Linked DNA regions of Canis lupus familiaris. The protein of the gene in region 1 purifies or fractionates together with the protein of each later gene. This does not show direct contact. Links are inferred from orthologs where the notes say so. Each region holds a gene or a part of one and is shown in the gene's direction. Other genes may lie near its edges.

The links.
Region 2: the proteins of IRF2BPL (region 1) and VGLL4 purify together in Homo sapiens (affinity purification with mass spectrometry; 3 studies listed by BioGRID and IntAct, counting the BioPlex papers as one, with this or other methods). This does not show direct contact. The link is inferred for Canis lupus familiaris from reciprocal best matches to the Homo sapiens genes IRF2BPL and VGLL4.

Annotation. Positions count from the first base shown.
Region 1 is NC_049229.1:50,180,095-50,184,513, reverse strand, and holds the start of IRF2BPL (probable E3 ubiquitin-protein ligase IRF2BPL), read left to right. Parts: upstream 1-1,498; 5' UTR 1,499-1,837; coding exon 1,838-4,198; 3' UTR 4,199-4,419. UniProt on the Homo sapiens protein: Probable E3 ubiquitin protein ligase involved in the proteasome-mediated ubiquitin-dependent degradation of target proteins. Through the degradation of CTNNB1, functions downstream of FOXF2 to negatively regulate the Wnt signaling pathway.
Region 2 is NC_049241.1:6,902,898-6,907,224, forward strand, and holds the start of VGLL4 (transcription cofactor vestigial-like protein 4), read left to right. Parts: upstream 1-1,487; 5' UTR 1,488-2,126; coding exon 2,127-2,208; intron 2,209-4,327. UniProt on the Homo sapiens protein: May act as a specific coactivator for the mammalian TEFs.

The DNA of each region.
Region 1 (4,419 bases):
CCCCTAATGGAAAAGAAATCATGGCCTTGCTCAGCCTTCTGGGGCACTGTGGAATGAAATCACAGCACGTGAGAAAGAATTTTGAAAGCTGCCACTGCGCTTTACAAAGAGATAGCAAAATCATTAAACGCTGCCCCACCTTCTTTTATCAAACCCGGAAAAACCACTCACCTGTTTGGCCTCTCCAGCACCTTCCCCCCTCCCTGCCCCAACTGCAGCTGTGCGCAGCCAGTAGACTGTTTTCCTTAAAGGCCTCCGGGTGCTCGTAGCTTCTTTCAGCCAAAATTTTTAGAATGCGACTGGGGGGGGGAGGAGTAGCTCACCCTGAATTCATTTAGCTCTGTCGTTGAAACTCAGGTTCCTAGACCAGAGGCACAAAAACAAATCGAAAAGGCAGTTTCTGGGCAAATGGAAAACAGCTAATTTTGCAGGTGCTTTGGCATCGGTGGTAGCAAGTGAACGTAACATCCATACGGGGTGGGGCGGGGCGGGGGGGGATGATTTGATTACAGATAAAACGAGAATGAGATTCGCGACGAAAATCCTGAAACTGGACATTTAAATGCACTGCCCGGGGTGGGGTGGGGAGCGGGATCGGAAATGACGCTTGTGGTTTTCAAATGCGTTTTTACTTGGGAAAGCCGGGCGGGGAAAGGAAAGGTCATCGTCTGTTTAATTTCCACCCCCAGCCCAGGACGTCCAGCATTAGCTCGCCGGGCCTCAGCTGTTGTACACACACGGGGAGGGGGGAGGGGAAGGCGGAGGCGCGGAGGCGGGGCCGCCGGGGAGGAATCTGGGCGCCCTGCCGCGCATGCGCCCTCCCCGAGCAACAAGTGGCTCCACAGACAGAGGAAGTGTAAAGGGGAGGGAGGGGGGAGAAGTGGTGCAGAGCATGGCGGTGACGTCAGCGCTCCGCCCGGGCGGCATCCCGCGCGGCCAAGCCGGGGACAGCGCGAGCCGCAGCGCGAGCGGGAGCGCCGAGACGCGCCTCCGGAACGTAGAGTAACAATCACAACCCCACATTCCGGGCGAGTGCGAGCGGGAAGGGATGCGACCCGGGCCGAGGCGCCGCGCGAGCGCCCTGCAGCCAACGTGAGCGCCGCCAGCCGCGGCGGCCGGGGCGCCGGCCGGGCCTGGGGGCGGCGGGAGCCTGCGTGCGTGCGCTCCTCTCCTCTGCTCTCGTGCGTCCTGGAAGCGGTGGCCGCGGCGGCTCCCTCCGGCCGTGCAAACCCAGCCGCCGCCAGCGGAACGGCCGACGCTGCGGAGGGGAGAAGCTCCTCTCGGCGGCCACCCCCTCCCTCCCCCGGCGACTTCAGCAAGATTGGACCCGGGCACCGGGTGGCACTGAGCCCTCTAGCCTTCGCCCCAGTGAGCCTGGCGGGGAGAGGACGCAGCTCGTAGGGGGGCCCCCAGGGAGAGGAAGAGACCACCCCTTTCGAGCTTCCAGGCACCAGCCACTCCGGGGAGGGGGCCAAGAGCCCACGGCGGCCAGCACCCGGCACCCTCGCCCCCTCCCCTCGGGCCCGGAGCTCGCAGCCCGGGTCCGCGGCACCAGGAAGAAGGCGCCCGAGCTCCCCTCCCGACGACACAGCCGCAGTAGGAGGTGGGGGCGACGAGCGGGCAGCACTCGTCCGCCGCCCCGGCGGTGGAGCCCCCACGGAGAGGCGCTGCGCCGGCGGTGGAGACTCGCGCTCCCTCCAGCCCCTGGGGCAGAACTTTCTCGCCCCCCCTTCCTCCCCCGCAGCCGGACTCCCTCCCCAGCCGGCCAGTCCTCCCGGAGGAGAAGGCGCCGCGGAGACAGCCTGGGCGGGGGCCTACCTTCCCCAGGGCGGGCATCATGTCGGCGGCGCAGGTGTCCTCGTCCCGGAGACAGTCTTGCTACCTGTGCGACCTGCCCCGCATGCCCTGGGCCATGATCTGGGACTTCTCGGAACCCGTATGCCGCGGTTGCGTCAACTACGAGGGCGCCGATCGCATCGAGTTCGTGATCGAGACGGCGCGCCAGCTGAAGCGGGCGCACGGCTGCTTTCAGGACGGCCGCTCCCCCGGGCCGCCGCCGCCCGTCGGGGTCAAGACGGTGGCCCTGTCGGCTAAGGAGGCGGCGGCCGCGGCGGCGGCGGCGGCGGCGGCCGCGCAGCAGCAGCAGCAGCAGCAGCAGCAACAGCAGCAGCAGCAGCAGCAGCAGCTCAACCACGTCGACGGTTCCAGCAAGCCTGCGGTGCTGGCGGCCCCGTCCGGCCTGGAGCGCTACGGCCTGAGCGCTGCCGCCGCCGCCGCCGCCGCCGCCGCCGCCGCCGCCGTGGAGCAGCGCAGCCGCTTCGAGTACCCGCCGCCGCCGGTGAGCCTGGGGAGCAGCAGCCACGCCGCGCGGCTGCCCAACGGGCTGGGGGGCCCCAACGGCTTCCCCAAGCCGACACCGGAGGAGGGACCCCCGGAGCTGAACCGCCAGAGCCCCAACTCCTCTTCTGCCGCGGCGTCGGTGGCGTCTCGGCGCGGGACGCACGGTGGGCTAGTGACGGGGCTGCCCAACCCGGGGGGTGGTGGAGGCCCCCAGCTCGCGGTGCCCCCCAACCTGCTGCCGCAGACGCTACTTAACGGCCCGGCCAGCGCCGCGGTGCTGCCCCCGCCGCCGCCCCACGGCCTCGGCAGCCGTGGGCCCCCGACGCCCGCGCCCCCAGGGGCACCCGGGGGCCCCGCTTGTCTTGGGGGCGCCCCGGGCGTCTCGGCCGCGTCGTCCTCGGCGTCGTCTTCGACCTCGTCGTCGGTGGCGGAGGTGGGGGTGGGTGCTGGCGGCAAAAGGCCCGGCTCGGTGTCGAGCACCGACCAGGAGCGCGAGCTGAAGGAGAAGCAGCGCAACGCCGAGGCCCTGGCCGAGCTGAGCGAGAGCCTGCGCAACCGCGCGGAGGAGTGGGCCAACAAGCCCAAGATGGTCCGCGACACGCTGCTCACGCTGGCTGGCTGCACGCCCTACGAGGTGCGTTTCAAGAAGGACCACTCGCTGCTGGGCCGCGTCTTCGCCTTCGACGCCGTCTCCAAGCCCGGCATGGACTACGAGCTGAAGCTGTTCATCGAGTACCCCACGGGCTCCGGCAACGTGTACTCCAGCGCGTCCGGTGTGGCCAAGCAGATGTACCAGGACTGTATGAAGGACTTCGGCCGGGGTCTCTCCTCCGGCTTCAAGTACCTGGAGTACGAGAAGAAGCACGGCTCCGGGGACTGGCGCCTCCTGGGAGACCTGCTGCCCGAGGCCGTGCGCTTCTTCAAGGAGGGCGTGCCCGGCGCCGACATGCTGCCCCAGCCCTACCTGGACGCCAGCTGCCCCATGCTGCCCACGGCCCTGGTGAGTCTGAGCCGCGCCCCCAGCGCGCCCCCGGGCACCGGGGCCCTGCCGCCCGCCGCCCCTTCGGGCCGGGGCACCGCCGCCAGTCTCCGCAAGAGGAAGGCGTCCCCCGAGCCCCCGGACTCCGCCGAGGGCGCCCTAAAACTGGGCGAGGAGCAGCAGAGGCAGCAGTGGATGGCGAACCAGAGCGAGGCACTGAAGCTCACCATGTCGGCCGGCGGCTTCGCGGCGCCGGGGCACGCCGCCGGGGGTCCGCCCCCCCCGCCCCCGCCCCTGGGACCCCATTCCAACCGGACCACCCCGCCCGAGTCAGCCCCTCAGAACGGCCCGTCCCCCATGGCCGCCCTCATGTCGGTGGCAGACACTCTGGGCACGGCGCACTCGCCGAAGGACGGCAGCTCCGTGCACTCCACCACTGCGTCCGCCAGGCGCAACAGCAGCAGCCCGGTGTCACCGGCCTCCGTGCCCGGGCAGCGCCGCTTGGCATCACGGAACGGGGACCTGAATTTACAGGTGGCGCCCCCGCCGCCTAGCACCCACCCGGGCATGGACCAAGTGCACCCCCAAAACATTCCGGATTCCCCTATGGCCAACAGCGGGCCCCTCTGCTGTACCATTTGCCACGAACGTTTGGAGGACACGCATTTCGTTCAGTGCCCATCCGTCCCCAGCCACAAATTCTGCTTCCCTTGCTCTAGAGAGAGTATCAAGGCCCAGGGGGCCACCGGCGAGGTGTACTGCCCCAGCGGAGAGAAATGCCCCCTGGTTGGGTCGAATGTACCTTGGGCCTTCATGCAGGGCGAAATCGCGACGATCTTAGCTGGAGATGTTAAAGTGAAAAAGGAGAGAGACCCTTGAACCACAAGACGGCCACCTCCTCTGCCCCTGACCAGCTCCTCTCCGATCCAGAGGGCCCCTCCCCCACCCACAGCGACCCTCCCTCCCCTTGCCCCTAAGATGTAGAATTGTGAATATAACAAACTGCAAAAAGTTAGTCTTATGTATAGACATTATTTTCGTCGTATGTTTCTATATTTTGAAACAAAAGGTATGTAACTTCTTCATTTGAAGGATAAGCT
Region 2 (4,327 bases), on another chromosome or scaffold:
TAATTATAATTGATGATATATATATATATATATATCTTTCTGTACAGCTTATTCAGTATCTAGAATATGTAACCCAATGTTAATAGATACCCTTATAAATGAAAGCTTGTGAAATCTTGATTTTTCTGTTGCCTACTTCACCCGCTGCTATCCAGTGATAGCAGTAGTATTGGGTGTTTTGTTAATCTTCTAATAAGATTTGATTAGAACAATTTGCTGTGAACATCTGTCATCCAAAATGCAACTACTGATGGATTTTAAAAATCCCCTGAAATTATTTATTCAGCTCTGTAGAATATTAAAATTTCAGGTCTTGATCTACAGTATGACACTCCTTGATATTTTCTAAATCTCCAAATAGCATATATTCATATCAATACACAGACACTTCCTGTGGTGAATTATTAGTCAATTTATGGTGCCAAAAGCTAGCTACAGCCTGCTAAGATAAAACAATTTCCTCCCTCTGTTTGCTAGTGTGCTCTTTGTGCGCTTAAAGGCTCTGGACATTCAGTGATGTACTCATCAGTAAACAGCTTTTGGGTACCTACTTGTACTAGATACTGGAGATACGAAGTTTAAGGGTTTTATTTTTTATTTTTTTATTTTTATTTTTTAAAGATTTATTTATTTATTTATGATAGAGAGAGAGAGAGAGAGGCAGAGACACAGGAGGAGGGAGAAGCAGGCTTCATGCCAGGAGCCCGATGTGGGACTCGAACCCGGGACTCCAGGATCGCACCCTGGGCCAAAAAGGCAGGTGCTAAACTGCTGAGCCACCCAGGATCCCCAGTTTAACAGTATAGGAACAGCATAGCAACATGCTACTGGCCCCTAATAAATAGATGAAACAGCTTTCATATGTGCCGAATGAAAATGCCTTTATTCTCCTCATGACCCGTCATTTCAAATAGGCTTTTGGTCTTCCTTGCTTAAACCACTTTCTCTGTTTTCTCTTTTTTCTCTCTTTCCCTCCTTTTTTTCTTTAAGGAAAATTATTAGGGGAAAAAATACCCTAAAAGTAGTTTTACCAACTATTTTGGGGTCCTGGGTCAGTCATTTAATCCCTCTGAGCCTCAGTTTTCTCTGCTGTAAAAAAGTGATACCAAAAAAAAAAAAAAAAAAAAAGTGATACCATCTCCGCCCGGTTCATGTCATGAGGAGCAGGAGAGAAGTTCTATGTAACATTCAGATCAAAATTTGAAACATACAGCCCGAAGTGTAGAAGTGTAAAAGGACATCGTAAACCAATTTTTAAAAGAAACAAAAAACCTTCCAAATAACGCATGGTATATGTACCACGGCAAACGCAGCAGCCTGGGTTCCCGAATCCCCACAGTGAAGACCCAGCCAAGGTTAAATTCTGTGGAAGTTTGCTTCCATGATGGATTTTTTTTTTTTTTACTTTTTTACTCAGCTCCCGAAAAAGAAACTTCCTGGGTTTTCTCTCCCTCCTAGGGTTCTTGCAGTGGCAGGGCTGCTTCCTGTCCAGAGCAGCTCTGCCCCGGCCCCTCTGTTCAGACTCTCCACCTCCTCTTTCTCTTTCTTTCAAGCACTTAATGCATTTAGAGACTGATCTTGTGCAGAAAATATCCCTGACATTTGAGGAGCTGCGGGGCGCAGTGAGCATGCTCCGTGGCCCTCGGCGGGGAGAGGAAGCTCGCTCGCATTCGAGTCATACCGAGCATAGCCAGCATGTCAGCGCGGTTCCCTTGCAGCGGGCTGTGAGGAGGGCGAGCGCGGCTTTGTCCGAGGAAATGTGCTTCGTGGTCTTCGTCTTCACCCCTTTTCTACTGCGAAGAAAGACCTGCAAAGACTTCCGAAACGGTTTTTAAGTGCTCCATCGAGGATACAAAACCTATACTGTCTACAAATAAACCCTCCAAGGGTTTCCGTGTGACTTTGATTTTTTTGGTGGCGTGTTTTTGTTTTCTCTTTTCTTTCTTTCTTTCTTTCTTTTTTTTTTTTTTTACTTTTACATACTTTGTTTTGATCGTCTGAGGCTGGGCCTCGCTGTCTTTGTGAAGTTTGAGAAGAGCCAGGAGCTACTCAGTAATAATTGATTTTTGAAACCTACTCTTTGGGGGCGGAAAGCAAAGAGCTGGTTTTCTGTGCTAGCCCAATAAATGCTATTTATGAAGATGGACCTGTTGAACTACCAGTACTTGGACAAGATGAACAACAATATCGGCATTCTGTGCTACGAAGGTAGAGGTTCTGTTCTAGAAATTGCTCTCCTATTGCTTTTGTTAAGGCCACTCCTCCTTTAGGGTTCTGAATGCCTTCTGTGTATTTTGCTCTCTTTCTTGGGATTTTAGGGTGCTTTGAAAGGCGAGTATTTATTATGCACTATTTTCAATACAAAGTTTGCTGTTTCTATCTTAGCTTTCAGGGTTACAGTGGGGGAGGGAAGGCAGTGAAATATAAACTGTTAAAAGTTTCCCTTTTGCTTGCAACATTAACTCTTCAAAATTTTTAACTCTTGATAATATGATTATTTTTGTTTTCTGCTGGTGCTCTCTTTAGAGGAAGAACTTCTAGGACCAGGAAAAGTTAAACGAGTTGGTCACCTCCCCCACCCCCAGCTCTGATACTTATTTTAAACATACACTATCTACAGTATTCATGTTGTATTCCAGTCAGTGCTTTGGATTTTCATGTAGAGGGGAACAGAAAGTTACAGTGAGTTTTTGTTTTCAGGAGCTATTGTCCCAAACAATGAAGAATTTTTCTATTCAGTTTGGGGGACTGGAAGGGCACCCATGTCACAAAGCACAGACTGGCTCTTTGTCTGATTTCCCATTTCCTGTACTGCTCTAGAGAGTTCTGACATTGAAGGATGTTCCCTCCACACTCCGGTCCCTTGTGGAAGTGATTGCACAACACACCAACCAGAAAGCTAAATTGAAAGAGAGAAAGAAAGAAAGAAACCTACTCAGAATTCTTCTTGTTTATCACCTCCTGCTAAACTGTGAGGTGTTTCCCCACCGCCTTGTAGCATTTCAAGCTGCCCCTGTTGGTAGGAAGAAGAGAAAAAGCGATTTCTTGATCTGTTGGAACATTATCTACGTGCAATTTGAAAAAGTGGAAATGGCCTGGGTTTGAGTGGCCGGAGAGGCATCTGCGGGGGAATTCAGCTTGGCAGGAGGGGCGTTTTTTGTTGTAACCAAATACAAATCGAGGAGGAGACATCTCCTTTCTGATTCAGTAGGAGTTTCCATGTTTTCCCTTAATAGTGAACTGAACGTTTCTTTTGAAAAAGAAAACATTGAGGAAACTTGTATTTTTCATGTAAAATTTCAGGCCTGTTACCTAGTCAGTTGAAAACTTACCCTTTCCCCTTCAAGGAACATAAAATCTCATTCATACTGTTTTTTATTTCACTCAGGATAAGGATCTCATACTTAAAATTTTTTCTAAAAAGTTATACGTATTTAAACTCCTGCTTGTTCCACTAATGAGAATTTTGGTGTTTGCTTTCTTTGAATCTGCTGTTTTTAACTATCGTGTTACTTCTGAAATCACTCATTTTAAAAAAGGCAGACTTCTTCAGGGTGGTGGAAGTAGCGAGTGACTGGGCTCATTTCTTGTGAAATTAATATACTGCAGTTTTTAAAAACATCTTTTTTTTCAGTGATCAAGAAATCACAAAGTCTTAAGGCAATATCTGGTGGCTTGTCTTTGTCATTGTGTAATATGATATTCTCAAACCAAACCAAAACAAAATAAAACATAACGATCCGCTTAAGAGAGGGATAGAGGGATTGCTAGGAAATTGATACCACATTACTTTTTTATGTCTTTAGTTGGGGGTGGTGAGGAAAGGCTTACGGAAAGCTCCACCAGGTTGATTTGTTGTTCTGTAGTCTGTAATATACTTGAGAGTAGTCTGCTTGAAGCTTCCCTCTTTTGGGGGGAGGAAGAAACTTTGATTTTGAAAGTTGAGTAGATATGTAGGATGATTTGCTATAGTTTGTTTGGTTTAAACATCTGCTGCTATTTTCCTTACTACGAAAGTTAACGTTATATTAACACCAAAATAAATACACAGGAAATGAAGAAAAGCACAGCAAAACTTGAGTGGTGTTTTTAGTGGGTTGTTTATGTACTGGTGGTTTTCTTAGTATAAACACTGCACACATCTGCTCTGAACTCAAAAGGGTGTTTTGAGGATGGGCATAAATCTCAGATGGGAATTTTTTTTTTTTTTGGTAAGAAAAGTTGGAACCATTGCTATTTCTTTAAATCCAGTACTTTGGAAATATTCATATTAAACATAGCAGCTCACCAGCATTCCAGGGAAGTTATTTGGAAAATGGAATGTACA